4 linked regions of the Lepisosteus oculatus genome follow. The protein of the gene in region 1 purifies or fractionates together with the protein of each later gene. This does not show direct contact. Links are inferred from orthologs where the notes say so. Each region holds a gene or a part of one and is shown in the gene's direction. Other genes may lie near its edges. The genes, in order: atp6ap2, atp6v1ab, atp6ap1a and atp6v1f.

Region 1 (7,889 bases):
GACACAAAGATCTATATGCCTTTGAAAGAACAAACCTGGTCAATGTGGGCAATTTCAGTCACATACTTAGACAAAGCAATAGTTGTTTTAAAATGTCCCAGGAACCAAACAACATATACAAATATTGACAGTTTTGGTCTGCAAAAATAATTGTAAGAGGGTGCCACAGTGGTTAGCGCTGATGTCTTGCAGTGCTGGCGCCCTGGGTTCAGTTCCAGACCTGGGGTTGCTGTCTGCGTGGAGTCTGCATGTTCTCCCTGGTTTCATGTTAGTTTCCTCCGGGAGCTCCAGTTGCCTCCTGCAGTCCAGAGACATGCTGGTAAATAAACTGGCTCCAAGGAAAATCAGTGTGAGTGTGTTTGTGTCTGTGGGTGCTCTGTGAGGGCCTGGCATGCTGTCCAAGGTCAATCTTGCCTTGTGCCCATTGCTTGCTGGGATAGGCTCTGGCTCTGTCACCACTATGAGCCTGCATTGGAAAACGTGGTTAGAAAATGGATGGAAGGGTGATAAAAATATGGTTTTACCAGTCTGCTGAGGCTGGAAGTCTATTTTAATTGTAATGCTTTTTTGTGGTGTTCTTGCACAGACCAAGATGACTTCCTGACCGCCATTTCTTCAGGAAAAAAAAAATATAACAGCCTCTGTTTAGATGTGGCTAAAGTAGCCAACACTTTTTTTCAGGGTTTATCTTTGGAACAATAGGATTTCTAATTTTGCAACAACTGTTGATCTGAACAAATAAATAACAGCATCAAAGCTGAATCACTGCAGTGGAAACAAACTAACACTTTAGATTTAACTGGCTATTCACTGTGAATGGTTTTGTGTGCCACAGGATTCTGGACATTCAAACTGCATGTGGCCAAATACCATGCAATTTATCTACTTTATAAAATGGACAGGCATCGTCCTGGGCATTTGCTAATTGATATTCAAAAAGCAGCTGAGACAGAGCTGTTCTACCCTTAAGCAAAGTGTTTCAACCTAATTGTGGCAGGAAGATGGCCAGATGTGTAAATGGGTGTACAGTACACGTCAGTCGCCTGGGATAAAAGCGTCAGCCAAGATGGCAGACTGAGCTGAATCTTCAAAAAAAAAAAACCCTTTCAAACTCTTCTTCAGAGCCAATACATCAAGTGAAACTTGGCTACCATCATCGACGCTTTTCCTTTCCCCAAAGAAACACACCGCAGACACAAGCCGGGAGGTGAACTGCCCTCTTTATTTAGTCTTGTGCGGGCAGTGCTTCCAGCTTCAGAGAAAATAAACGAACACACCTAGACCTTCTCTGGGCTGCGGGCTATCGCGTCTTCACGGTTGCTGTAATAGTAACAACCCGGGCATTGAGCTGCGGACCGGCACCCACACAAAGCAGGTTGTGTTTTGAAGTGTCGCCTGAGCTTCCTCCGCACTCCGCCTCGCAGCCCGGGGCACACAGCCCTCTCGCCCCCGGCGGAGCCCTGCTCCCCACGGGCTCCTCTCAGCACAGCAGCTGTCGGCCTCGTCGTCTTCTTTTGCGGCCGATCCGTCTTTCTCTCTCACTTGATTTTGATTTGTAAAAAAATACCGTGAACACACTTTCGCCGCAGACATCTCACAACGAGCACGCACGCTCACAAAACCCATACAATCTCCACCACATTGCGAAAAGTTTTTTTTTTAAAAAGCGTTAATTGCGCCTTTTCAGTCTCCGCCGGTGGATGCTGGGGCTGCATTTGCACAACAGAAGAGACCCTCCGAGCCCTGCACTTGCTGTTGTCCACTGGCTCGGAGACCGCCGGCCAGTCCTCCGCAGGAACTCAAAGGTCCAGGTTTTTCATCCTTAGTCCCTGGACACGGCCCACAGTCACTTTGTTCAAAGACACCGCTTTCACCCCCGGCGTGCCTTTCAACTCACGGCTAACCCTTCAGCCGTAGGTGCTGTACGCTCAACCCCCCCCTCTCTTGTTTACCCTGGCCCGGGACCCGTCTCTCTTTCAGTCATCTCTCCCGGGCTCATATCTATTATTGAAGACACACCTGCGGCTCGCTTCATCTTCAGCTGCAGTTACTGCTCTAATAGACAACGCCTGTCAGCCTTCCAAATAAGGGAATGGGCGTGTCAAAGGTGCAGCGCCGCAGGGGAAGGCTCCGCCCCCGGGGCCCCGCCCACTGTGGAGACTCGGTTTCAAAACCTGTTTAGTCAAAACGTCGCATTTTTCATTTTAGGGTATACACAAAATGTTGCGAGACTGTATTTTTTGTATAAATCAAGATAGTCGTCTGAACACCACCTTATTCTTAACTTTAAGCCTGCCTTTATTGAAAAATGGTCTAAGTGGTAAACACTCAAGCTTTATCCATACATAGCAGGATCTAAAATGTCAAAGCTTCTGAGAAATGTCGGTTCAGTCAAGATAGTACTATTGCAGGTTATATACCAGTACAACACCGCAGTTCATTGTTGTAAGGCCTCACTTAGTGTAATTTGTATTAAAGCACGTTTCTCACTAAACCAATCTGATTATTAGTAGGAATGAATCAAAAGTCAGTGGTTATTTTACCGAAGACACAGTATACATTCTTCACAACTAACATCATTCTAGCATCCGTCTGTGATGTAGTTCACGGGAGACAAATAATTTTTAGCCATGCTCTTTGCTACCAACATACTCTTCAAAACAGCCTTACTAATCAGTCTGCTTTACTGTTTTTTTATGTTTTAGCAGAACTTTCTTAGAGGCCATCAGAAATCTAGAACTCCAAGCAATCACTTTGTTTTAAATTTGGGCTTGAGTGTTATTGACCCAATGTCTATGGTAAGGAAAATCAAGACCTTGGCAATAATACATATTTATCATTTCCTCTATAACCTTTGCTGCAATCTTTCATCTCACTTGAATCACTCACTTTTAGTGTTTGTTATAATGGAGGCATTCATTATGTGAAGTAAGCTCTCTGGAATGGATCACAGAAAAAGTGCCACTTAATTTAAAAAAATGTCTGTGCTTAATGAAATGTTGAAGATATTGTATACTAATATCTTCCAGCATTCTAATGTAGAAGAGAAATGTACAAAGGCCAGCCCTAAAGAAAGTTTCAAGGCTAGCATCATCTCATACAAATTCTGTACAATCACCAGTGCTAGTTCCTGCAGATGTAACTCTGTGTTATCCCTGAATGTCCAACAGCTGAGATTATAGGTGAGTGTGCACGCTTGTGTGTAGCATCTACACAAACACAGGGAAAAGAAGAGCAAGAGGATTTCTGATTGAAGGTGGTTTGGTGTTAGCAAATAATGTCCATATTATGAAGTTACACTGTTCAAATGCAGAGTCTGGCTTGGAAAGATGACAGCTATCTCAACAGGGCCATTATAAAGATCTCATGTTAACACCGGTGTCCTGGCTATTTTTCCACTCTGCTTGTGCAATCTAGTCTCTCTAGATGTCACCCTTAGTCAATTGAAGAAGTCCAACCTTTTCTACTGTGGAGTGAGGTTACTGATACATAAGGGCTACCATGCATCACCCAGGTGCAGGTGGAAGCTGCACTTCAAAACTGTACGAAATGAAAGCAATTACACACACTGTATCAGTTCAAGTTCAAGCTTAATTATTCTCTTCTGGGGGAAATTTGTTTTAATGGCACAGTCCAGTGCAACAAGAAGGACAAACATTACCAACAGAGAAGGCTGTACAATAGTGTTACTGCAGATAAGTGAGACGATCTGGGTCTGTTACTTTTATAGAGATGTCTCCCACCTAGGAATAGTGTAAATTCACAATGGAGGGGGTGAAATGCACAATGCCTAAGGCTCTTGGATGTCTTTACAACCCTGTGTTTGTAGAGGACATGTCATTTGATTTAATTTGGTCCAATTATTTTTCTACTTATTTTCACTAGTCCCCCTCCATGACAGTTAACAGTACTGATGTTGCCAAACCAACAAGTGAGACAAGTATGTCAAGACACTTCCAATATATGACTTGTAAAAAAGAAAAGGGAGAAAAAATGAATACGTTTGTCTGAAGAATACCAAGGTCAAGGCTGCCTTAACATATATAAACAAGAAATCCTAAAGACTGAGAAAGAGTCTGTACTCACCGTCTGACCAGCAGGCGGTATCCTGCTTCGAAGGCCACAGAGATGGGTCGGGGTTTCAGCCCGGGCAGCCCGAATTACAGACAAACTGGCTGTAATTCTTTCTTCAAGTGAGACAAGGATTGGTACATTTCCTGTTCCTTCAGTACTCTAACAAAAAAACACATAGCTGCAATAATGCCACCGCTGAACTTTGAAATTTGCACAAAATGACAGACTATCTCGGGAAGAGTTAGATTAATTTGTCTCACTAGGCCTTGGCTAATTGATGTGACTGGGGCTCAACGTCTATACATTTTCACTTTTTTTACTCTATTCTTACCTAATGGGACCACAGCATGTGTTGTCCATCCAGGTTGAAACAGTAGTTTATTATACAGATTATTATGTATTAATTTTGTTTTAGTCAACAGTAAGTAAAAAAAAAAAGTTATTTTTTATTTAAATAATCTTCAAAAGAGAGCAATAGTTGCTTAAGGAAGTACATATTCAAGTTCGTTGTCTCTCTTATTTTGTAAACTGCCCGCACCAAAATGTTTAGTAGAGTTTTGGTTAAAAAAAATTACATTCAAAATACCGGAAAACCGAAGCATAGTTACGAATAGTCATATGATGATTTTTAAGGGTCGACGGGTATTGGTTGCGAACACTGTCAGTCACACAACGGCTCGCTCATTGGTTATTTTGACGCCATGGTCGTCCACTTGCAATTGCCGATAGGTCACTAGCAAAGCTGCCTGCAGGCTCATTTGCTGAGTCGAGGAGGGGGCGGTACTTTGTCGATCCATACCCACAACCCACCGCGGCGTTCAGCGACTGCTCCAAGAGGGGAAAGATGGTGGTTTATATGCTCGCAAGGAGGATGGCAAGATTTCTAATGGCGGTGTGCCTCGTCTTTGCTGCTTTGTCAGCTGGTAAGGATTCGAGTATTTTGCGTCGCCGGCGATTGTTCAATATTTAAGCCTAAAGTCTTAAGCAAAGCTCTATAAAAAATACTGAATCGCGTTTGTTTCATTTTTCAGTGGTAGACTGTCACACCGATGTCAGATGTTCAGCTGATCAGCTGATCCGCGGCATTTCTAGATTTTCAGTTATTTACGTGAATTACAGTAACGTATTATTAAAACTGATGAGACGTGTTTCGTATGTTACCTGCTTTGCGCTTGAAACTCGATGTTATAGAAATGTCTGCAGTCGCGGTAACAGTAATGTAACATATCTGCCTGGCTAGGTTTGATGCAACGTAACTAGTGATTGCCAGTATTGATATTATTCACAAATAAAAACACCCAGTAGGTTTATTACTATCGGATCGGTAATTTTTGATAATTGCTTCTGTAATTCGCCCGTTTTCCTTTTTAAAAAGCAGTTTCTGTAGACTGGGGGAAAGCAGAAGTGACGAGGGGGTTTGATGAGTGTTGAGAAGAGCATTCATCATCACATGACAACGCCAAATGTTTAAGCCCGGCGAGTTTGAGCAATGGTTTCCTGGATATTATTAATTATAGCAATAAGACAGGCAAATACTTTTCACTATTCCTCTGCAGAGTTAGAAGTGCAGAATGTGCTAAATTCGATATTTTTTGTCAGCTTATCTATTAGTCTAGTTAGCAAGATAAAAATGCACCACAACTGTAACATATCGAATCCCCAGTACGACGTTTTTTATTTGTCGTTATGCTGGGTTTAATAGAAGGACACTGGATTTATTTTAAATAGCTGTGTAGGCAGATTACTGAAGTACAGTATATTTTGTTTGCTGCTGCTGCTGGTTCTCAGTGGTGTTTTTATTTTGAAACCTTAGAATGACAGGATTTTTGTTGACCTTAAAACACAAGGCGGTAAAGTCCTGGTCCAGTGCGCCTCCGTGCAGGTGCGTGTCTGTTCATTGCTGTCTAATCCAGGCTTGTTCAACCTGTACGCTATCAGCAGAGCCACACATTGCAAGGCTACTCTTCAGCTGTCTGGTTCTGTTGCAAATATCATGACTGCATTAAGCCAAAACAAAAAAATAAATGTTGGATATGACTCCTTTAAAATGCTCTGATGGAGCTCTTCAGTAACTTCAATGATCTTGGGAACTGACATAAAAAAACAGCCTTTGGCATTGTAGGTCACGTACTGTAGGATTGTGGGGCACGTGTGTGAGAATTCATAGGCTGATTCATCTGAGAATGATTTGTCAGGGGCGCATTTGTAAACCCGTGTTTTAAATCTGGTTTGGCAAGAGGGAAAATTAGCACAATGTCATTAAATGAAGTGAATATAATTATTTTAAGAGAATTATGTATGACAAGCAACAACAAAATTAACAGATGGTCTTGTTATAAAGAAAGCTTTGGTACAGTTGAACAAATTGTGGTTCACACTTTAGAATAATATTTATACATGAGATGTGCTATCAATCATGAATTGACAATCTACATAAGGTAAAAGGCATCTAGATATTCACAGCACATGTGATCTGTAGCTCCCAATCCTGGTACTGGAGGAAATTTCTGATGGCCTTCATTCCAGTTTTGCTCCAAATCTCCCTTGCTAATTGCTGATTTAACTGATATGCTTGGTTTTTTAGAATTGTATTTAACTTATGTCACAGTCCTGAGTGTTACAAATACCCAACTTAACAGGTACCACTTCCAGCAATTTCAACAGATAAAACATTTAACAGTCCTCAACTTGCTTGCCATTTTTTAAAAATCTGTACGTAAGCAGACACCTAAATTCTTGTTTTATTTTTGTCAGGCGTGTTTGGGGACAGCTTCACAGTGCTGAAAGCCCCCCAGTATATCACCTTCAAGGAGGGCCAATGGCCTCTCTCTGCGGAACGGATTCCTGACCTGGCAGCTCTGACCATGGGCTTCTCTGTGGAGGAGGTACTGCCTTTCTTTTTGTTTTCCGACATTCTTGTTTCGGTTCTGTTCCTCTGAGATTTTCCCCCTTTTTTTTCTGAAAAAAACGTCTGCAAGTCTTGTAGTGAATGTCTGCCACAAAGCCTTGTTACTGTATGTACTGTAGACGTCTGCGACCCACCCAACTTCAAGTCACATGCCTTTTAACGCATCACAGGCTACACTACCCCTATCAGGGGATCTACACCAACTGCAGAAAAGGTGCATCCCTCACAGTGTCACAAACTCACAAGTGCCCGAATGGCCACAGGGGGCGCTGTGCTCACCAAGAGCTGAGAGAGCCCTGCCCAGCTACGCCCACCCTGGCCTCAGCAGCATTCACCCAATTGTGCACCGCCACTTGCTGAATTCCAGTCACAGTCACGGTGCTGTGACTTGGGTTTGAACCCGTGACACCTGGACCACACAGCTCAACCTGCTCCTTCACTCAGGAGGCCCCTGGGATTTGTCCTTTTTTGAAGAATAATAAGCTTTTCCATCCCTATTGGTATAATGAAGCATTTCCTTATTGTTCCCAATATTGGTTCCTTATCTGTTTGTGATGTTTTGTGGAAAGCTGAAAATGTAAGTAAGCAGCACCTATGACAACAGTTCTCTCTCTTACAGCCAGTGAATGTTCTTGCTAGATGCACAGGCACCTTGCTGTGTGGAGCGGTGCCGTGACGCTGTGTGTGTGTTTTGTGCAGGACCTGTCCTGGCCGGGCCTCCAGACGGGCAGTCTCTTCCAGCGTCCTCGGGCCAACGCGCTCATTGTGGTCAGGGGAGTGGGCAGCCTGCCCCTGCCCCAGAGCCTTGCCTCTTACCCGGTGGAGAATGTAAGTGCCAGTGAAAGATTATGCCATGATTTCTGCAAAGATGCTCACCAGCACAGATCCCGGAGTGAGAGACTGGTTT
Region 2 (7,903 bases), on another chromosome or scaffold:
ACCTATCCCCAGCCTGCGATAGGGCGCCAGGCAGCCCAAGGTCATGATGTAGAGCCTCTTCTGGTTCTGAGAGTGATCCACCCGGCAGCACACTGCTCCCACTGCGATGTCATTGAAGTACGCTGAAACACAGCGGAGAGCGAGAGTGAGCTCTCGCCCATGAGCACCAGCGCCCCCTACGGACCGCACCCGCACCTGCACCTGCAGGCCCTGCGCAGACACGCCACCCCCACCCTCCTCGCGCACGCTCGCCTCCCCGGCCCACGTCTCGCTGCCCTTGCGCGGCCCTTAATCACCCCCCCCCCTCGCACTCCCCACAGAATCGAGGACACCCCCAGCTCCACTCACCTAGCTTGGCCAGCTCCCCCACCTCCAGCACGTCCTTGTAGAACTTGTCGTTGTAGCTGACTGGGAAGATCACCTGGTTCAGCCGCTTCAGCTGCTTAATGTTGTGTGGCGTCACGTCTCCCAGCTCGATCCGGCTACTGGAACAGAACCAGACTGGTCAACGGCTGTGGCGTGCCCACAGTGGACACCAGCTGAGCACCACTGCCGTGGTGAAAACCCCTTCCCAGGATCGGCAGGAAGACCCATTTCCAATGCATTTCCTGCGCTGCGCAGACATTAACTGACTAACTTTGTGATCAACGAACAAACTATTTAATGCTGTAAAGAATTTTCCCGTCACAATGCATCTCACTGACGCACAGGCAGGATCGGAAACTCCAGGTGTGGCCGTGCGTTCTGTGGTGCTCTTGTATGGAATAGCAGCATGGGCAGGGGGCAGAGCAAAGAGGGAAAATGAAGACTCTGCCTGCACAGCAGTTTGATTCTTTGCAGGCTAAACCAGTACAAAAGAACAAACCGCACCGATGAAGCAGAAATGCAAATATTTTCAAATGACACTAACAGCACGCGTCTGTCCGTGCAAACGTATCCGCAGACCTGACAAAAGGACTGAAACGTTGATACACCTGGGTGCTGTCTTGCACGGGTGAGCCACGAGCACATGAGCTCAAAGAGCACTGAAAGAGCTGCCCAGCTCGCCAACACCTCCCAGCTGCTCCTCGCAGCCCGCGAGCAGAGCCAGGGCAGGCGGCAGCTGTACACACTGCTATCCAGCAGAGCCCACAGCCAGGCCAGCTTTTACACCGCGGAGCTGGACGCACTCCCGCCAATGTCCATGCTCTCCAGGACTGGCACAGCTGCCTCCTCTCAGTCCAGACCGAGCCCAGAGTCTTCGAGCTTGGATGTGTTCTTCAACGAGGGGACCAAAGGTCATGGAAATGTGGGCAAAGAAAAACTATGAACCATGTCCAGCAAGTGAGCGCTGGGTTCACAACTGCACAAATTAGCACCACTTCAGAACTATCACCTCTCTTCAAATCCCAGTCCCGGCCATTATTACTACAGTCCCGTTCTCTTTCAAAGCGACGGCGTGCAGTTACGTTTACTGTTGCCTTTTTCGTTTTCCTGTTTGCACGGCAGAAGGTTCTGAGCCGGACCCCAGCTCACAGAGCAGTGGGAATGGGCTCCAGGCAAGCGAAGTCTCTCAGCCGAGTTGTCACAAATGAGAGGGGCCCAGCCCATTTGGTGGTTAGTAGGCAAACTGATCCAACGATCTCCTCGAGTCAGGGTGTTGCTCAGCCTGTTCCATAGGAACTGTTCAAGCCCCTTTGCTGCAGGATGCCCCTGGGCACCGCGCAGCGTCCACAATACCGCAGCTGAGCCGTCTCCTTCCCTGGCGGCCGAGATCTGAGGGCCGGTGCTGAACACCGCACTCAGTTCCTCACCACGCCACGGGCGTGCCGAGGGTCGACTTCCGTTTCTTTGTGCAGAAAAACAGAAACACGGGAGCAAGACACAAAAACAGCTGGGTAACTCCGAGAAAAAAAAAAAGACTTCAGCAAGCAGGGGGCAGCCATTGCTGTCGATGGCAGGGGGCGCAGACTTGAGGAGAAAAGTCTCAGGCAGCGAGCGAAGAGAACCAAGTTGGACATCCATTGCTCAGCTCAGGTCAGACTTGGCCCTTGTTCTCCTATTGAGCTCTGCATCAGGAACCCCCACAGGACGACCGCACGGCCGACGGGCTGGGAAGAGAGCTGCCCCCTCCTCGGCACAGGGCCCACCCGCCCTGGCTGGACCTGTGCCCCAGGCAGCCCCGAGCCCAGCGCGCGCCCTGGTGTATTTATAGGGGCCGGCCGGGGCTGGAACTCCATTTTTAAACCAGCTGCCCGGGTCACGAGATACCGCACCAGCTGGCGGCAGGAGGGCGGCACGCGGCGCTGGCAGGACCCCGCTCTGTCCAGGGCCCCCCGCAGCGCATGCCACGCTGCAGCGCCTCGCCCGGAGGGCAACCCGGGGCTTGTCCGAAACAAGTGCTTTGTACAGGGGCGTCGAAGTAGCCTTTTTCACTCAAATGGCCTCCTCTCTCTCTCTCTGCGAACTTCTTAATGTACCAACGTTTTTTTGGTTAATGAACAGGATGGGCCTCCTCTCATTTATAACCCCCCTCAGTGACCTTCAGTTACAGTCCAACACCTCAATCAAGCGAGCAAGCCCAGACGCACAGGCAGGATCGGGAGAGACACAGACACCTGCAGACATGCTGTATGGAGTGTCTGATAGGTCTGCCTGCAGATACATCTTCTCGCCTGCACTCCACTGCGAATGGGGGGGGGAAACAACAACATCCCACTTAAATTGGTTTTGCTTTCTCTTCGTGAAGAATCATGTTCACGAACCCCCACCCAGCATGCACTCGTCAACCAATAACACGGCCACTGAAGGCTCCTGTCTGCTGGTTTACCTCCGAACCGCCCTTTTAAAAGCAGCTTTTGGGTCAAAGCTTCACAGGGGCCAGGGAAGCGCTCCCCACCCGGCAGTGGGGGGGTAAACAACGAGACAGGTGTGGACAGGTGTCTCGTGGCGGGGGTGGGGGGGGGTTTCTTCCTCTACTGCTGCAGCGCGCGCCAAAAGGCGTCCCGGGCTGGGCGACCCCGCACGCGCCCGGACCCCCCCCCCCCCCGGATTTTACCTGTTGATTTTTCTACAACAAATAACAGTCGATCTACTGGTGACGCCCCGGGGCGGGGGAACGTGTCTTAACCTTTTAGCCAACGCAACCGTGATACACAACGAAGACGTCGGCCGAAGCGCTATTACACCCCCAAATACTAACCGACCTGCGTCCGATATCGCCCACTGCGTGACTTCAGAAGGGATCCAACGGACAATTGTGCTCAAACACACCTTCGTTAACCCATTTAGTACACTGTTTTAAGGATCTTTCACTATCAAGACACAGGCGGAAGAAAAAACACTGGTTATAAAGTTAAGGGGGGTGGGGGGAGACTTGAAAATTAATATTTACAACAGCAAACGCTTCTACGTTATTTTCATTTTAAAAAACACACACACACACAATACAGAAGGGATCCGATTAAAACAAACAGCGGTTTTGTTTTTCGGCCGGTCCTCGCGAGGGAAAACCAAAACGGGGATTGGGAAACAAAACCCCAGCGATCCTACTTTTGCCATCTTGGGGATGAGAAAACAGGAGCGACACTCGCCGCTCGCTAACCAGGCGCCCGGCGGTCACAACGCTTCTGCTGGCGTTGGCAGATTCCTGCTTCCCACAGCAGCACCAGGCGAGCATGCACACAGCAAAGCTCATCGCAACACCCCCACCCCTCTCCGGAAAAAAAAAAAAAAGAGAGAGAGAGAAAAGAGGAGAAAAAAAAAACTTTATCCGTGATGGGGAGAGAGGCGTCTCGGCGGACGGCGCCTACTCACCCTTTCATGGTGGACAGGAGTTGTTTCCCGGGGGTGTCGCGGTCAAAGCGGAGGGCAGCGGCTCGTCCTTGGGGGGGATTCGGGCTGAGTTCGGGTGAGGATTGAGCACCGCTGTCAGCCAGAACCACATGGATCAACTTCGCTCCCCCTCCGCGCGCACACACACACACACGGCTGAACTCTGACCCCGCTCGCTCCGCACCCCCCTACCCCGGATAAAAATATTGCCTTCCCCCGCGGAGACCCCAAAACCGCCTGCCCGTCCCCCAACGCCACCCTGACGCGGTTTGCGACCGGTTTTCAGTGCGTGAAAATATTTTGAAAATGGGATTCGATTAAGCGACGAATTTAACGGCTGTTTTTTTAAAAAACGTCCAAAGGCCGTGACCTTTGACTCGGGCCGACGTTGCCGTTTTCGATTAAAATATTTTAACGACCGCATTTAAAAAAAATAAATTGATTGCGAGGAAATGCGACAGTATGTTTAAATGTTAAAAATCATTTGAGTTGAACTGAAGGAAAATATCTAATCCAACAGCGAATCGGATAGATCACGTGACCAGAAATACACACACGTGCCCTCCCGTAATATATCTGAATATTTCTTTACGCAATTATGGAAATTAATGAACTAACTAATCTGTTATTTTACTGACAGGCTATCTATTAACAGCTACTGTTGGTATCTTCAATGGCAATTATTCAAAAACAGTTTTCGAGTATACTAACGTTATTATAAATTTGGGACGCCGGTTACGGGTTAATATTTTAAAAAATATTTTGGTAAGATAATGACTCCCTACATGAGACGCATATTTTTGAATAGTTAAAAGCTAAGTACATCATCCTTTATGAATCATAATAGTGTTTTAGTTATTCAAATTATTTTATCAAGAACTAAACTGGATAACACGCGTTCGATAAAGTTCCTCCAATATCCCATAATGCTGTTTTCTTTCAATTTGACGGAGGGTGCGAAATATATAGGGGAAGTGACGAAACTGGGCCTAAATCATCTCCATCTTGGCTCTAGAAACGGCTTAGCTTAGCGGTGCAGCCCAGCATCCAGTTTTGAGCCAGTATGGTGTCAGTTTCCTCTCCTGTCGAAGGGGTAGTTCAGCCTGCGGTGAATGAAGTCAGCTGACTCCCCGATCTCTCGCTTTGCTGACAAGTTCCTTGCTGGAGGAGGGAGAGAAAAAGCTTTAAATAATTTCGTTTCTCGAAGGTAACGTAACGGTATTTGACTCTTTAATCACTGTTTTGTATGTGTTTAGCCGGTTTTATTGTGTTGCTGCGTGTCTTAAATTACATTTTCAATGAAATGCAGATTGTAAGTCGGTAGCAGACCTATGCGCCGCTGAAGTGACAGGCTGGACAGCTGATCCATATGTGCAAAATAAACACTGCGGGTTTCTGATGTGAATAAATTAAAACAATTTTCATTTCACGCTTCGTGCGGCAGTACTGTCACAGGCCTTCGTTTTTGTTTTTTTCTTTTAGCTGTCGAAACCGTCCTCGGCCACCATTGCACTGTACGGCAGTTGTGAAAAAAATAATTGAAAACAAAATGCAACATCGGTCCTTCAGTCGTATTAAAACATCCTAACCGTACTGTAGTCCAGTAAGCGTCTGAATTATTAGCAGACACTCTTCCATATCGGCTAGCATGTTGTGCTCGTCAGATGGAGACTCGGTGTGATATACCGTATTATGAAATAATTTTAGATTACGCTTTTTCGATGAACGCTAATATCTGAGCGATCACAATTACAGAGCCGATCGTATTTTTGAAGTGTCAAGATGCGAGTTCACTGCGCAACAGAGGTTTGTTCGTGGGTGCAAACGTGTTTTCGGACGCATTGCTGGTAAATACCGCTGGGCTTGCCAGGGGTCGTGTAGGTTTCAGTTTTAGAGGAATAGGAATAATTGCAATGCGGAAAGATGTCTCAAGTTAAGAATGTGTTGCGTGTTTACGTCGATGGAGGATAGCTAACGTATCCTGACGGGTATTGCTGAGACGAAGTACCCTAGACTAGATTTTGTTGAACGGATTCAGACCTCAGAGGTATCGGCCTGTTTTACGGGACTGAACTGTAGCGGTGACCGTCTCATTCCCCGTCTATGCATTTAGTTGCCTTCGCTCTGTCGGAGGGTTGGCTCGTCTTAACAAATGTGTATTAGACACGATCGACACGTCATGTGATCGAGTCAGCAGACCGGGCGAAATTTTCCGAAGGGCGCTCAGCATCTTTATGGGGTGTCTGGAGTGGGGCTGGGTGTACAGTTGCTGCGTAACAGATATATGGGGGTCCATCACATGCCGGGCGGTATCAGAACTGCATTCCCCTAAAATGTATTCTATGATCTGACGTAGAAAACGGAGTGATCTATTATGAATGATGTATTGTATTGTAGTCCATTTGTATCATCTGATCGGTCTAGCAGTTTTGTCATTTTGTTTTACATAAAAGTGGTGTGGATATTGTAAGGGTGATGTGCCCCGAGTATGGTCTTCCATTCCGGGTGATGCAGGATAAGGCAGGGGTTCCCAGCTTTGCTTTTGGGGTTCCCCCACTCCTGCTGGCTTTCTTTCCAGATGGGCTCTTGTTGGCACAGTAGGACCCTTGCTGTAATAGTAGAACTCATTGAAACTCTTTGACTTGGCAAACAGGAGTGCCTGCTGTTCTTCGTCTCCAATGCACTGGCCTCTAGTTCCTGTTTCACTGCTCGTTCAGAAGAGGCCGACTGGGCTGACTTTGTCTGTGCCCTTGAGGACCCTCAATACTCCCTTGAGTCACCTGCCCTGTTCATTTCATTTGGCGATGGTTCACCATCGCTGACGGCAAGCTGGACAGAGGCTTGGAGGTGTCCATTGAGCCTCGTGCGCTGTGACGCAGCGGGACTGTGAGCTCCAGAGTGACAGAACCTCGGCTGGGTGGGTTTGTGGTAGGGGAGCACAGCGGTGAGTCAGTCTCACGACGAACCTAATTTCAGAACCTGCATTGCAACGAGCCAGTGCCTTTTTTTATATAGGAATGCTTCAAGAGCATGTGCTTACTACCCTCCTGTGAATGAAGTATGAGCAGTTTTCAGGGATGGGTCAAAGATCCCGATTTTAATTTTACACTTTTGGCACTACTGTGCTTTGATGTGGAGTGTTAGTGAACTTGGTGGGTTTGACGGAAGATCAGTGGAAACTGTCTGTAAGTGAGTCATAACCGTGAATGAGAAGGTGACTCTGATGCATTGTTCCATTTTGGAAGTTCCTTTAATGTTTCTTTCTTTTATAGCATGATCCTATGCAGTTGTTCCACTGTCATGTAATCGCTACCTTGTGATTCAGTGCATAGGTCTGGGTTGGATAAACAAAGGTCCCCCTTTAGGTCTAATGATGGCCCGAGGGGTCCAAAGCTGCTGGCTGGTGTCCTGCACATGTTCATCTGCACCAGATTGTATTTGTGCCGCAAAATCTGCGCAAACATGCTGATCTTGGGCAAAGCCTCCAAGTAAACGTCTTATGAGGTGCTTAACAAAACAGACAACAATACTGTACCAACGGCCAAGTTGAGTGAAGACTGTGTCCAGACCCCTGCCCAGATCAGATTATCAGTGGTTGAACGTGCAGCCCAACCACAGATACTGACCAGTCAGAGCCAGAGGAGGTCACGTGACCGTGCCTGATCACACAGCTGCACCGGGAGGGGGGAGGGTGCCACATTGAGAGCCGAGCAGTGAGACGTTTTTCCCAAAGCCCCTTACTGTCGATCAGTTCATTATTCGTTCAGCTGGAGCCCACATCAGGGGGTCGGTCTCCACACGGGTGAGCGTAAATCATGCAGGCTGTCCATCCAGCAGCCCAGCCAGTGCGTTGGCAATGCCAAATCTCAACTTCAAATCTCTGCGTGGCTTTCATTTCAGCTCTCTTCACGCAAAGAGCTGTGTAGCAGGAGCCCTGTAGCACAATGGATAGGTACAGTACAGCAGGAAACCAGTGTTAGGTACCGTGACACTTCATTCTCGCACAGGTCTTCTGTGCAGCAGGTACGTCGTTGGTAAAATAACAAATCTGTTTTGCATGTTCTTTCCATGTTTACGTTGTTTTTTTTTC
Region 3 (7,192 bases), on another chromosome or scaffold:
TTAGAGACCATTGATCTGTGGTTTGCTGAGCCAAGTGAACATTCTGAAAGTGAAAATATCTATCCTTTTATTTAAAAAAATAAAATCATCAATAGGTCTGTATTGAATGGTTTCTCTTGTCCAGCTGTGTGGTTTTTAGGGATGTGTTTTGTCTAAAAAAGATATTTGATTTCTGAAGTAATCTTTGCTGATTGATTTTAAAATAGGCCTTGGCATTGACATTACATTTAAATATCAATGTCAAGTTAAATGGCATTGAGAATAAAAGTTAAAATATTATTTTAAGGAAGACATGGCTACCTCCTTTCTTTGTTGACCGTAAACCTGATATCTTCACTGAAGGCTTTACAGTGTCAGCTTGTTCAGTATTTGTGTCCTGTAGGACCAGAAGATACTGTTGGTATCTGCTGTTTTATCTTTCAATGCACAGCTTGGTCATATCTATAAAAAATATAACTTATTCAAGAAATAAAATACTGGACTTGTTTATGAATAAGAGTACAATTAACTATACCTATATATATCTGCATATCTATACGTTTATTATACAGTTGGAATGCATCCTGTTTGGATGCTTCTGACATCGTCTTGATTAATTTTTGGAAGGTGATTTCCCTAGAGCACATCAAACAGAGTGACATGTTGGTCTAGCAGACAGAGCAATAGAGACTTTTGCAGAAGGAGTTTAACAAGATATGCCAGAAGGTATAAATGAAACCGCTGTAAAAGACATGTTCCATATTTGAATGTGGCATTTCACTGTTAGTTGTACATATTTGCTCATTATGAAGTTCTAACATATCACACTGGTAAATGCTTGTGAATATGACCATGGTTTGGGCAATGGACTTATTTGCAATGGGTAGAATAACCTGTGCAGGACTTTAATGGATGCACAGCACTGTCCATGAAATATTTATACTTTCACCCAGCCTGGCCTCTACTGCACCGATAATCAGCAGTCACCTTGCAGCTACACTGATGGGAGGTTTCAGTTTGGATGTAGTTTTGCCTTAACTAAACTTTCCAAACTTTTGTTAACAGTTGTTGACCAATTTGTAGTTCTTTTGTGTTTCTTTTTTCCTATTGATACTAAGATTTTCAGTCAACACCCACAATGGAATTTTGGGCCCCCAAAGCAAACAGTTTCTGAAGGTTATTACAATATTTACAATAAAATACATGGCAGTTCGATACGTGTTCATGTTATATAAAATATAGATGAGGTGGGTGGCATGATGGTGCAATGGTTAGCATTGCTGCCTTGCAGTACTGGAGCTCAGGTCCTACCTTTGCAGAGTTTGTAAGTCCCCCCCCTGTGTTTGCATGGATTTCCTCCAGGTAGTCCAGTTTCCTCCCACTGTCCAAAAATATAGATCTAGTTTTATTGACTTCTGGGAATATCGTCCCTGGTGTGTGAGAGTGTGTGAGAGTGTGAGACATGGGATGGACTGATGTCCCATCCAAGGCATACCCTACCTGAGGCTTCAGATCCTCCATGAACCTTAATTGGATTAAGAGATTAAAAAATTGATAGATTACTATAGAGATAGGAACACCTATAATAATGTTTCTGTTATTTAGAAATCTGAGATTCTTGGAATGTTTGCCAGAAGAAACAACAGAATGCTTAACATTATATACAGATTTGAGCCGCACCAACTGCCTGAATAATTCATTGTAACAGTGCTCAGCACACTGAGCTAGTTGCAGAAGTAACGTCATCACCCTCTGAAATCTAGACAGTGTAGTCTCAGTCTTCTGACCTGTCTGAGTTATTCACTGTTTAGAGAGAGGTGCCATGCATGCTCAGAGCCTGCAAGTAACCGGGATTGAATCCTGGCAGGGACAGGGAGAGATGCACTTGTTACTTAACATCTTAATGGCTGCCAGTTTGGGAATCCAGTTTAAGGTATGTTTAGTTGTTAAAGTGTTGTTTCTGGGTACAAATGGCACTCCATACTGTACCGAGCAATAGAGGACTGATGTAATTCTAGGCAGAGATGAATTTCTAACCAAAAAATTTAAAAGACTTGAACAGGAAACTGGAACAGATGAGGTGCCCTAAATATAAATACTAGATCCTAATCAACTAATTTAAAAGTTTTATGAAAATGGAATTTACAGTTGAGAGTACTCAATACACAATAGGATGTGCCACGAGACAAAACTAGAGATATGAACATGAACTGAGGTAGTCCATCGTTACGGATTTAATCATTTTGTATTTTGATAAGACTTTTGATGTTTTGTCCCCTATCTTTTATAAAGCTGTTTTAATTATGTCCTAAACTGTAGCCCAAAAGGCTTGGCAGCTGATGTTAATCTTTTGTACTTGTATTTGAGGTTTTCTCATGTATAAGATAATGTTAAGCTAACTAGTAGCTGCAATGTCACAGTTATTTTTAATTGTATTTTCCTTTTAATTTTGTATATGAAGTATTTTTATAACAGTGATTAAATTTAACTTGGAACTGATTGAACTGGATTATATGGATATAATATAACTAAAGAAGAAAAAGATCTTGTACTGCCTTATTGGAATCAGTTCAGAAAGTTTGTTTCATTCTGTTCCTAGTTCAAGTTAATAAAATATGGGCTTTTACATCTGTGTCATTTATGTTGGAGTTACTGAATTCTTATGGAGCTTGTTCTACTGTATAACACTGGACATGTTATTGATGTCTCTTGTTGTGTAAAAATATACTTCTTGTGAACTATTATCATTTATCATGTTCTTAAAAACTATTGACATGCTTTGACAGTTCTCTGTTGTAGCACGGAGAAAAATATTTTTCTAATATACAATTGTAATGTCATTTCATGGCAAACCTCAGTATGCTGTATTTCTATCTTTGAATCTTGGCCCTTATACAGCGTAAGTAGAGCACTCTTTCTTCTCTTTTTTTCTTAACTCTTGGACTTGGAATGTATTGTTTCAAGAATTAATTTGAGCCTTTAACAGTATTCTGGGGTGACCTTCCTTTTCCTAACCTGTATTCCTCTCTTCCCAACATGGCACCTGTAATATTTGCCCCATTCCTTCATAGCCAGCTTTTCTAAAATTATCCCTGTTTTTTAATTGTCAGCAGTCAACAAAATCTAACATATTCAGGTTACAATTTCCCACTGGTTCTCTCTTACAGAGAGCTCTATAAGTACGTACAGTAAGGGTACTTTAACAACCTGGGTTAAGAAGCCTAGTCTGGCAAGTAACAGGCGCAAGGCAGGACACCAGGAGAGTGCACAAGTCAATCGCACTTAACCATTTCAATGTTATCAATTTCTGCTTCTGTATTCCCTATCTCAGTAGGTGTGGAACATTAAAATCTCACAGTAATAGAACATTCGAGTTCTTATATTTCAAGCCTCAACTCGGTAACCACTAGCCCACACTTTCTTCCTTTCTCCACGTTCCTGAGCTGCATACACTGGCCAGCTCTCTTCCTGGCTCTCGGCTCTAAACTGTGGCTCAAACTGACGGCCCCTTTCTCAGTTCCTCAGCTCTAACCACTAGCCTCCCCTGCATCCCTCCCTTTCTCCCACTATTCCCAAACTAGTCCACACTGCCTGCCTGCCTCCTGGTCCTTTTCATTGTTAATGCAGGCCAAATCTGGAAGGAATCTTTGATCGATTTCTCTGCTGGAAGCCCAAACTTCCTGCTTCTCTTTAAATTTCTCCTGTTCTACTACTAACCCACAGCACTTCTCTTTCAAGCCCCACACTAGGCCTTTTCTCCAGTGCCTCCTACCTAATCGCCAACTCACACTGCTTTCCACCCCTCTCTGTGTTTTATTTCTCATAAATACTAAGCTTAATTCTTCTTTAATGTACTGTTAACTTTTTATTTTAGGACTATATTTCACAGTAAGCTGAAATGAACAGTATTAAAAAAAATAGTTAAGGTCTGAATACAAGTGCACAGCGAGCTGTTAATTCTTTTGACTTAAAAATAATTCTAAAGAGCTACACACGAGGAGATGAATCTTGTTTCATTTAAAAACACAGTCATGTTTGGCATACACGTAACAGCAGTGCTTCCACTCATCCGAAAAGCACAACCTGCAGCGCTGTGCCGCTGACATTAAGTCTCACCAACCGTGTTTATGTGCGAGAGGCTTTTCCACCAATGACAGGACTCGGGGGGCGGTCTCATGGGTCGTGTGTCTCACATGACTGTCAGCCGGTGAGGAAGACGTCATTGCCTCCGCTGCGAAAACACAAGATGGCCGACATGAGGATGCAGAGGCGATCTGGGGTGGTGTTATTTTTTGGTTTGTTCGCTGTTTTCTGCTTGGGCAGTTGTAGCGACCAGGTTCCTGTAGTAATATGGTCCAGTCAAGGGTAAGGACTCATTTTATTATTTGGCGAAAGTGTATTTTCGGAAGCGCAGACGGTAACCAGCTGTCCATTTGTGTATCGTGAAATGCAGTGAAATTTGACAGTAGTTTGTACGTAATATCACTCAAACTGTCTTAATTAGACAGGCATTCCTTTATTCCACTTTTAAGATATTTGAAGGTAGAAATAGGTCCACGTTATTTAAGGTTATGTTTGAAAATTGATCATACAAAGTTGTGTGATGCAACCAAGGCAAAGATATAGAATCTTTTAACATAAGGTGACATTTGTCTCTTTTTATGTCTTTACAGTTTAACTAATAGAGGAGTGAATTCCAGTTAAATGACTTTTCAAGCACTAATGTATACAAAGTTTGCATTTGGTCTGATATGAGACATCCCACAATGCATGGTTAACATGATATTTTTTATGGGTTTTATAGCATTTACTAGCTGGCTAATGTAAACCTTACTGGGTTGTTCTGTGCTTTCTTTATTGCTGATTTCGAAAATGATGCCGATCTTTGCTTGCAGGTCGGTGCTGCAGTCCCAGACTGCTCCAGTAGCTGGTCACATTGTGTCCAGCTCTCAGCTTGTCTCCTACTTGAGCTCTGCTCTCACCAGTAGCCCCCATAATGTGCTGCTGTTTCTGCAAGACAAGGTGAGGTAAAGGAATCAGTGTGGTGATAGCATTAGCACTCAGTTAAGTTAAAGTCTGTAGAGGTAGTGAAACAGTTACATGTATGTATGCCACAGAAGTGCCCTTTCCTTCAATATGGCAGTAAGAATCAGCCAAAGAACATTTAGGTTTGTTGTTAAGGTTGTTCTGGAAGAAGATGTGACCTGCTGAACTAAAAGCAGCATCAATTGAACAGTCGTAGAACCACATTCAGACATATGTATATGCTTCCATCTTTAAATTTGTGGTACATTGCTACTACACTCCATAGCATAGGGAGGCATTTATTAATTTTCACCAAAAGACTAGAGAAGCCTTCTGTAATAGATTGCACACAGTGGTCTATTAAAGCAATATTTTGTGGTGTGTTTCTAATTGGATCTGACATTTTGGGGAGATATGCATGATCCTACTAGTAGGGTTGGGCTTCTTAATTAATAAATTAATTGGCACATATAAATTAAATGGTTTTCATGAAAAAAGTGTTATTTAGCTAGGTCTTCTGAGCTTTGAAAGACTTTGAAAACAGGAATTTGACTATGGTCCACATGACCTTGCTGATTTCTTCACCATGGTGTGACTGATCATCCAGGAGGAACTGGCTCACTCCACACACATCTCATAGCCACTCTTTCATTTCCTCTCTCTTTAGTTTTAAAGGTATAGTTACAGCTCTCTGCAAACTCTGCTAGTAGTACTAACCAGTTTCTACCAGATCAAACAAATTACAGCTGGGTAAAACTTCTGTAAAAAAAGATCAGTGTCTATTACCAAAACTCTTGTTTCTTTCTGTTGCTAATCATAACATATTACTCTTGCTTGTTCATGTTTACGTTAGTGTTGATTATACTGAGTAAAAAACATTACAAAGTAAAAAAATTGCAACACCTTGCTTTTGTCTTGTATTTCAAGTCCTGGGTCAATAGCCTCCTGTGTCAGTTGCATTTATCTGGCTTGCCTTGCTAAGTAACTGTTCCAGTTTCTTAAAGGGATAGAGTGGAAATAATGGATCAGGAGGGAGTACTCACCCTGTGGTCTGTGTAGGTCCCAATGCCCCAGCATAGTGGTGGGGACACAGTGCTGTTAAAAACGGCACTGTCTTTTTGATGAGACATAAAACCGAGGTCCTGACTCTCTTTGGTCATTAAGAAAATCCTAACGCATATCCTGAAAAGAGTGAAAAGAGGTGTACTGGGCCTATTACCTGCCCTTTACCAATCATGGTCTCTTAATAATCCCAGTTTATCAATTGACTTTATTACTCTGTTCTCCTCCCCACTGATAGTTGATGTGTGCTGGCTGTATTGGCGCACTTTAGCTGCCATTGTATCATCCACATGAGTTCTACACTTCGGTGGTGGTGGAGGGGAGTCACGATTGTCTGTAAAGCGCTTTATGTGGAATGTCCAGAAAAGTGCTATAATAGTGTAAAGAATTATTATTATGTACATGTATATGTTTGCACTGAGTATCTATTAATTAAACAAAGTATTATAAGTAGCACTTTGTAGGATGAATGAGTGTTTGCTTACACTTAAAAGTATCGTTAAACAACTACAGTTTATCAAACTGTGTATGATACAATGCATAAATGGCTAAATATTCACTTGTCAGAAGTAAGGTCCCAGGAATTGTATCTGCAATTACGTTATTGTACATCCTAGTTTAGCAAAGGTGATCCAGTTTTGGAGGTGGAGCTGAAATTGCCCTGGAGATGAAAATATCCATCAGTGGGGATGAAACTGGAGTTTTCCAAGATAGGGGTTCTTTCAGCACTATACAGGCTCATTGGAAATAACTGTAATTTTTGGTTTTCAGCTCAGTGTAGATGACTTCACCATGCATGGAGGTGTTTTTGGAAATAAACAAGACAATGCCTTTCCCAATCTGGAAGTAAGTGTTTGGGTGCTTACTTCTGGGAGTACGTGCTTACATGCTCATATTCTTCTTTGTCACGTGGTAAATCCAAGGTGGAAATAGCCGAGATATGCAGCAAAATGATTCACTGGTAAAACTGCACGTTCACAGAGGCCTAACTTAGATTTGAACCAGTGATCTATGGATTATAGGTTTCAAAATGTAATTCTCTTTCTCTGTCATCAACCTTTCCTATGTTGTCAAGCAAATTGGTAATCTTAGCCGAATTCAACTTTATTTCTGCCATGGAAAATAA
Region 4 (7,502 bases), on another chromosome or scaffold:
CTTTAATAACTTCAGAAATATAGAACCTCAAAATTCACATTTAGCAGATTGGGTCTATTAACTCCAAAGTCTATTAAAGTGAAATCATTTAAACGGAGGATTGACTGTAATCTGGTCATTTGCAGCTGTTATACATATAAAAATGATTTATAAATCACCTCTGTAAACCCATGAACGCTGTACATAGTGATAAAAAATATACAATAAAAAGCTAAAAATAAAATACAGTCACCGAAAGTCTGAGATTCAGTCCTAGGTTCAGTGAGCAAAGGACCAGTCTCAACTGAACAGAGCCAATGGGAGGCAGTGTAAACATGCAGGAGTTCAGAGAATGATGGAACAGATTACTTAGAGGCTTAAAAGTCAGTAACAAGATGTTTTATTGAATATATGACTTTATAGGCAACCAAAGTAGAGATCTGAATGTAGGAGAGATATGTTGCCAGGGTCTGGTGTGAGTCAGAAGTGTAGCTGTGGAGTTCTGGATACATTGTAACATACTAAGAAAAGTGTTAGGGAGCACACAGGGCAAAGAGTTACAGAAATCAAACCCTGATGTCATAAATGCATTAATCAAGCACTTAGCATCCAACATTCATAAAAATTGCCTAATGCTCGCTATATTTTTAGGTGAAAAAAGAGATCTTCATACATTTTGTGAAGTGTGGCTCAAAAAATAGAAGGTGTGACTCCAAGATTCCTGACTATGACTGGTGTCGGAATGAGGAAGCCATCAACATTTATTGTGAAGCTTTCCAGTTTTTTGCTACGCACTAGTAAAATGTAGATTTTGTAACTATTTAGCATTAAGAATTTGATGTCAACTAGAGCTTGATGTCACACAGACAAGAGTAACATGACAAAGGCTGGAGATCAGAGGGGCAGATGTTTTAATGTAAATCTGAGTATCATCTGCGTAACAACGAAACAGAAGACCATGTTTGCATATAATCTGATCAAGAGAACTCATATAAATTATAAAAAGCAATGGGCCCAAGACCGAACCCTGTGGCACACCATGATTGACTGGGGCCATAGAAGATTTATGAGGACCAAGAAAACAAAATGCTGTCTGCCAGTCAGATATGAGTAGGACCAGTTAAAAACAGTACCGTTGGATAGACATCATATCAATAAAGAATAAATGCACACCTTGATATTAATGGCAGCAAAAACAGTTAAGAACCCAAGTTAGATATTTTAAAACAGACATGGGAATATGAGGTGCACTAAAATGTCAACAATTTTAATAAAAATTAAATAGTTATAATGCAGAAAATGTAAATTCACCAGGCCTTCAAAAAACTGCTGTTAGAAAAGACTATAGTTTTATACCTGAATTTATCAACATTAATCAACACACCTGACTGAGAAAATGATCATATGTGACAAACTGAAGCATTCTAATTATTAGAATGTATGGCATAGTAATCAGCTGAATAAATTCTCTCAGCTATTTAGGGTTTTTTTTTCTTTCCCTCCCTTATTCCCACTGCATTCTTCAGAACCTCAGCAACAATGAAGACTGTGTGCTAAAATGTTAACAGTGAGGTTGCAATCAAAATCAGCCATGAACTGAAAAGGTAAGACATAAGATACAACATGGACTCTAGCCATTTTTTCTATTACAGTAAAGTTAATAACAGTTTAATGACAAAACAAAGGAAAGTCTTCAAAAGGAAATAATATTGGTGCAATCCTGTCCTAACGCTTTGCTGTAGCAGGTAATAGCTGCTAGCATAGGATGCTTCCCAAGCTGGAGAAGTTAACACAAACCATGGAAAGCAGGGTACCGAAGCTGGCTAGCAAAGCTCAGAAACACTGCATTGCCTAAGAGAACTACACTTCCCAGAACCCCACTCAGTGACTTCCTGGGGTGTGTCTACATTGCAAGTCACTAAGATGCCTGCAAGTTGTGACATTCTGTAGGTCCCACCAGGCACTGGTAGTTTCACTGGCGGTGGTCTGTGTAACTGGCGCACGCTGACAATCAACTCAAGTGGGATCCCTTATTTACAGGTTTATTTTTTTAAAAATGAGAAAATAAAATGGAAGGGTTTCCAGACGTTTTGTCAGGATGGCACAGGATACAAGTACTATAGTACAGCTGATAACAGGGAACTAACTACCAGTCCACACAAGGATGCTACTCCCATCTCCTGTCCAACAACTGTGACACCTAGTTACATAGGGTAATCCAACTCTGGACATTGTCCAGTGGGTTTTATAGGAATCCTTAAAACTCCAGCTTCTTTAGGAATAAGGTAAGTCTGCAACTTGGCTAATTAGGTAAATTCAATGAGGCGATTCAGGCCTAAAATAGAAAGCAAATGACCAAAAACCTTCTGGTTCTCTAGGACTGGATCTGTACACCAGCTACAGAGCAATTTCTAAAGATGTACAAAGTGGAACCTGTAGCATACTCAAAACTGCATGGGATCCGCGTAGGTTTTTACATTTATTAGAAAAATATTTAAGTACCAATTGGCCCATTAACGTTCATTTGAATTCACATGAATGTTCTAAAACCTTCTTCACATGTATCTTTGAAGAACATTAGTTTTCCATTAGAATAAATTTATCTACAAATGTTCCAGAGGATGCTGATGCAAATTGCAAGTAAAATAAGTGGAGGATGACATTTGATGTTTAGTGGTTATCCTTTTAAAGATCGTATCGGATCACTTATTATGTTTAGAAATATTTGCTGTAGCTTAGTTGCTATGGCAAGTACACTATACTGTATATCAAATTAATGCTCAGCCTAAAACTAGAAATTGGACTAGTTCTGGCATATTTGCAAAACAAATGTGACCCAAGTTAAAAATGTTATTAAATGCATATTTTAAATAACAAAATGTCTTTATGTAGCGTTACAATTGAAAAAATTAATCAATTCATTTTTTAAAATAATAAACAAAATGTGATATTACAAAGATTAAATGTGAAATATTTGCCACTCCAATTAAATGTAATTTTGAAATAGCAAGCAGGCCTTTGCCCTGTAATCCACACTGCAACAGAAATAATAAACTACCATTTTACAGTGCTATCAAAAACTCTGCAGCTTACCTCCACCAATTAAAAACAGACCAAAAGACAGACAACAGTTAATAGCATTTACAAGTGTCTAACAATTACACCAGAAAGAACATGAACTAAAAGCTGCACAGGAACAAGAGAGGTAGGACTTAAGACCTTGGGCTCATCTAGCTTGTTCGGATGATTGCAACCATTGTAAATCATGTGCAGGTTAGTGTACATCCCATTTTATAGACATTTCTGGAGACAGGAATTAATTTGACATATTCCCCTAAATGTGAAAGAAAACTGGATTTATAAATCAACAGAAATACAGGATAACAGGTCTTGATACGGGACAACACAATACCTAACACATATTGAATTTGTTAGCAATGTTTCATTACACGATACAAACAAACTGTTTCAGAGTGCTGTTTTCTCAGGAAAGCTGTCTAGAGAGAAAATTAAACTTACCTGTTTTCTTTATCCAGCTGATTGAAATCATGTTTCTTTACAAGTTGTTTGAGCTTGGTCAGATCCCCTGTAGAAGCAGCCTTGTGTAGCTTTCCTAGATCTTTTTCCTTTAGCTCATATCCAGCAGACAGCACACTCCCCGTGTCAGACGAATTGGGAGAAAACCCCTTTTTCTTCTTCGCAAAGCTAAATATCTTCTTCATCGTGAACTGTTTCGAGTCGGACAAGGGATGCACGACTTCATCGCCCTGCAGTGTCCAGGCGTTGTTCACTCAGGTGCAAAAGAAGATTCACCTTGGGCGTCTTTTCCATTCCAAAAATAAACCAGTAAATCGGATAAGGATAATGATGTCAAACTCATGAGTCTAGCAGAATGAGAAATAACACGGCGATTTATTTATTCTATTTTATTTTAATAAAATACATACAGTAAATATGCCCTGAGCAATTAGGATGTCTGATTATGATAGCATGTTTGCGATCACTGTGTCCTGTATCCCTAAGACCACATACTGTACATAAATACAATTTCAGGGCATAACATGCAAGGATAATAATTTTCCTTACCTTATCAAATCGGGGTTTCGGTGAAAAATGGTCGACAGTGTAAAAAAGACAGCAATTGCCTCATTTGGAGTTTAGTCGTTATCAGTAGTTAATTTACACCATACTCCCATAGCTGCACAATTCGTGTACCACCAACAGCAGCAGCAAGGGCAGGAGCTCAATTTACAGAGTCTGTAACCAAGGCAACCACGCCGTGCATCTAAAAACAGAACAGGATGGGGGGTTTAACAGCCTGGCATTACAAAAACAACGAAACGGGTTTTCTCGGTTCGTATAACCGACCGCCACAATATCATACGAACATATCATTGATCAAACTAGACTGGGAATCGGCTACGACAGGTCTTGTCTCCACTGGCAGTGTTGGTGCTCCGAGTCTGAATAATTCATCGTCATCTACAACCGCGACATTTGAATTTGTATCCAAGGTGTCAGGTGAGATTCAGCGTCTAAAGAAGTCACGACGTTATACGAGTGTAACCTGACTTGGTGAAAAAACAGCAAATTATACTCGTCTGTACGAGGTAAGATCACCATTCTTCCACTACTGTACGTAAATTTCTTCTTTCGGATTCACAGACAACGAATTGCAAAAACGTGGCAGAAGTCTCAATTTTGAGCGGAATATGCCAAGGTATGACACCAAATACAAACACTGAAAATCAGTACTTTCCAATCGGGTCATTCTATCATTGCAAAGATCTTGAAAGTTTCCCATTTTCAAAATGTCAACCATAGTCTTTGCAAAAATGAATACAAATATAGTTGTTGCGTAACTATTTAACCACACAGCAAACTAAAAAACAACATGGAGAATTAAAAATAGGATCTTTTTTATTAGAAAAATCTAGATTTATATACCTTGCCGTTAACTCTGATCATTCGTGTGAATATAAAAAAAATCATTCTCATAGCGTCAAAAATACATGCTCTTCATATGTCTTTTGAAAAAAAAAGCAATATATAACAAACCTAATCAATACAAATCTTTCCCAAATCCATTACTTCACTTTTCTCATAGTGACCAACTGGCATTGCACGTTGCGTGGGGACATAGTAACATAACTGTGTGACCGGCGGTGATCGCATCCAATCCAGTGCGTGGGATCGGTGAGCACTCGCCCGTTATCCAATAGTTCACAGGCTATAGTCCTGTGGCATAGAGAAGACCCGCCCACTACGTGCAAGTGTGGTTGAAACAGCATCCCTACTAAGGGTTCAGTCTTCTCTGAGCAACTGGTAGTTTGCAATGCTTGGGTTTGGGAGACGGAGCAGATCATATTACACTTTCATTAATAATAAAAATAAAAACAACAAGTAGAAGAAATCTAAAAAATAACTGCATTCTGTCACCCCCCACCAAAGTGTGACCCTTTTCACTTAAACGCCCAATCGGTCTTTTAGCTCGTAGCATACATATTTCAAAATCCTTTGTTTTTAGAGAATGTCGGTGAGCACTGCCAGATCTCCAAGTCCAGCTACGTTACCCTTTTAAGATGGGTACCGTAGATGTATCGTCTTAGTTGCTGGGGCACACTGTTGACCTTCGATCAAATTCAGTTTAGTTTTTTTATTACATTTTCAATATAATGACGCAGTAATATAATGCAAAATCTTGAAAATGTATAAAACAACTGTGTGCAGTAATGGTGAAACTGTACTATACTCTCCCATCTGAGCTGTTTGAACTCAGACCCTTTTATTCCCACCACTGCAGTGTGTGTGTATGGGGGGAGGGGTTATGAGTGACACAGCAAACCCAGTATTTCAATATTTTAACGAATATTGCATTTGGCAATTAATCCAAAGTTTTTTTCCGTAATGTCTTAGTTCACACATACTGTAAATTCGCTTACGTCAGCGCTCTAACATTGGGCAATGCTGACAAAACTCACCCACAAGATGATTTTAGTCATTTAAAATGGTTCTAACACTTTGTAAAATAAGCCTAGGTCTATATTTAATACACGAATTAGAGGTCCTTCTTAATACTTTTTCCGTTAGCAAAGCTCTCTCCAACGCCAGAGAAAGGACAATGGAAACATCTCCATGACTGGATTTTATCTAGTGTTCCAGGTATCGATGGTCGTTAGCGTCGCTGAGTCTGATGACGTAATTATCCCGTGACTTGTCAGGAAAAAGGAAGTACGGCGCGGTCAGCTGATCAGGCGTCGTTAACTTGAGATTTTTCAGGTGTTTCGTTTATCCTGAAGAGAGTATAACCGAAGAAAGTATTGTCAGACTCCTCTGTGAAATAGTCAGGCATACGTTTTTTGTCCAGCATGGCAGGACGAGGCAAGCTGATCGCGGTGATCGGAGATGAAGACACCTGCACCGGATTCCTGCTCGGAGGCGTTGGAGAGCTGAATAAGAACCGTAAACCCAATTTTCTGGTGGTCGAAAAGGACACAAGCATCACCGAGATCGAAGAGACCTTCAAGTGAGTTTGAGCTGGCCTGATTTAACAATGCCGACGAGACATATATATTTAGAGAATATATAATTCAAAATATTGTGTTGCAATAAGTGTGGTTAATAATTTAAAACACTGGCCATGACTGTAAGATCAGCATGGGGGAAATGATTATTTTCTTGGTTTTGATGATAGCCTTCTTTCTTCCATATCGCTAAAGACATGCTCGAAAATCCAGTTGCACAAGGTCAAATTTAAAATAGAAATGACATCTCTGTTAGTTAGTAGAAGACTTAAAAGTAAGTCTGCTTGAAAAGAGTACATCTGCAGAGCAATAACGGTATCGTTAATGTTATGTTCCAAGTTAAATACCTGAGACCTGCAAGTGTCAAGCATTACGGTCTAAATACATTTTAAGTTGAGCTTAAACTTTTGCAGAGCGTTATGTTTGCAGTATAAAAATGCTAGTGAACCGTTTTTATTCTAATACATCTGGAATAATGACACATCCTCAGTTCCTCCTTTTTTCCTTATTTAAAAAACGCAGCGGGCACGCAAGCCTTCACGTGCTTCTGTGTCAGATCGCCACTGCTGTGTGTGAGGCAGTAGGCTGGAGGTTGATGGCATGTTGTTTCTGTGATAATTTGTATGCAATTTGCATGTGTTCCTCATGATTAATCATTGCAGTCATATATTCTGCATACAGAGTGAGGCACAGAATGTGCTCGTGTTTTTCAAGATTGTATCCCCCTGAGTAACCCCTCTTTTTTTCATCTTTTTCTAGGAGTTTCTTGGCTCGAGATGACATTGGGATCATTCTGATCAACCAGTTCATTGCAGAAATGATCCGGCACGCTATTGATGCTCACATGCAGTCCATCCCAGCTGTGCTTGAGATCCCATCTAAGGAACATCCCTATGATGCTTCCAAGGACTCCATTTTGCGCAGGGCCAAAGGCATGTTCAGCGCAGAGGACTTCCGGTAAACCTCCCCGAAGAGGCAGAGGATGTCCTGAAGCAGATT

Evidence for each region.
Region 2: the proteins of atp6ap2 (region 1) and atp6v1ab purify together in Homo sapiens (co-immunoprecipitation; 3 studies listed by BioGRID and IntAct, with this or other methods). This does not show direct contact. The link is inferred for Lepisosteus oculatus from reciprocal best matches to the Homo sapiens genes ATP6AP2 and ATP6V1A.
Region 3: the proteins of atp6ap2 (region 1) and atp6ap1a purify together in Homo sapiens (affinity purification with mass spectrometry; 5 studies listed by BioGRID and IntAct, counting the BioPlex papers as one, with this or other methods). This does not show direct contact. The link is inferred for Lepisosteus oculatus from reciprocal best matches to the Homo sapiens genes ATP6AP2 and ATP6AP1.
Region 4: the proteins of atp6ap2 (region 1) and atp6v1f purify together in Homo sapiens (affinity purification with mass spectrometry; 3 studies listed by BioGRID and IntAct, counting the BioPlex papers as one, with this or other methods). This does not show direct contact. The link is inferred for Lepisosteus oculatus from reciprocal best matches to the Homo sapiens genes ATP6AP2 and ATP6V1F.

The regions. Positions count from the first base shown.
Region 1 is NC_090710.1:21,887,427-21,895,315, forward strand, and holds the start of atp6ap2 (renin receptor), read left to right. Parts: upstream 1-4,885; 5' UTR 4,886-4,918; coding exon 4,919-4,997; intron 4,998-6,828; coding exon 6,829-6,959; intron 6,960-7,681; coding exon 7,682-7,810; intron 7,811-7,889. UniProt on the Homo sapiens protein: Multifunctional protein which functions as a renin, prorenin cellular receptor and is involved in the assembly of the lysosomal proton-transporting V-type ATPase (V-ATPase) and the acidification of the endo-lysosomal system.
Region 2 is NC_090700.1:4,083,497-4,091,399, forward strand, and holds the start of atp6v1ab (V-type proton ATPase catalytic subunit A), read left to right. Parts: upstream 1-4,887; 5' UTR 4,888-5,020; intron 5,021-7,903. Other genes in the region: naa50 (N-alpha-acetyltransferase 50), read right to left, coding at 3-122, 349-485, 3,796-3,803. UniProt on the Homo sapiens protein: Catalytic subunit of the V1 complex of vacuolar(H+)-ATPase (V-ATPase), a multisubunit enzyme composed of a peripheral complex (V1) that hydrolyzes ATP and a membrane integral complex (V0) that translocates protons.
Region 3 is NC_090697.1:67,059,051-67,066,242, reverse strand, and holds the start of atp6ap1a (V-type proton ATPase subunit S1), read left to right. Parts: upstream 1-4,184; 5' UTR 4,185-4,225; coding exon 4,226-4,344; intron 4,345-4,874; coding exon 4,875-5,001; intron 5,002-6,837; coding exon 6,838-6,912; intron 6,913-7,192. UniProt on the Homo sapiens protein: Accessory subunit of the proton-transporting vacuolar (V)-ATPase protein pump, which is required for luminal acidification of secretory vesicles.
Region 4 is NC_090702.1:45,635,442-45,642,943, forward strand, and holds the start of atp6v1f (V-type proton ATPase subunit F), read left to right. Parts: upstream 1-4,497; 5' UTR 4,498-4,589; intron 4,590-4,926; exon of another isoform or gene 4,927-5,175; intron 5,176-6,346; 5' UTR 6,347-6,347; coding exon 6,348-6,505; intron 6,506-7,262; coding exon 7,263-7,464; 3' UTR 7,465-7,502. Other genes in the region: ankrd26 (ankyrin repeat domain-containing protein 26), read right to left, coding at 3,499-3,701. UniProt on the Homo sapiens protein: Subunit of the V1 complex of vacuolar(H+)-ATPase (V-ATPase), a multisubunit enzyme composed of a peripheral complex (V1) that hydrolyzes ATP and a membrane integral complex (V0) that translocates protons.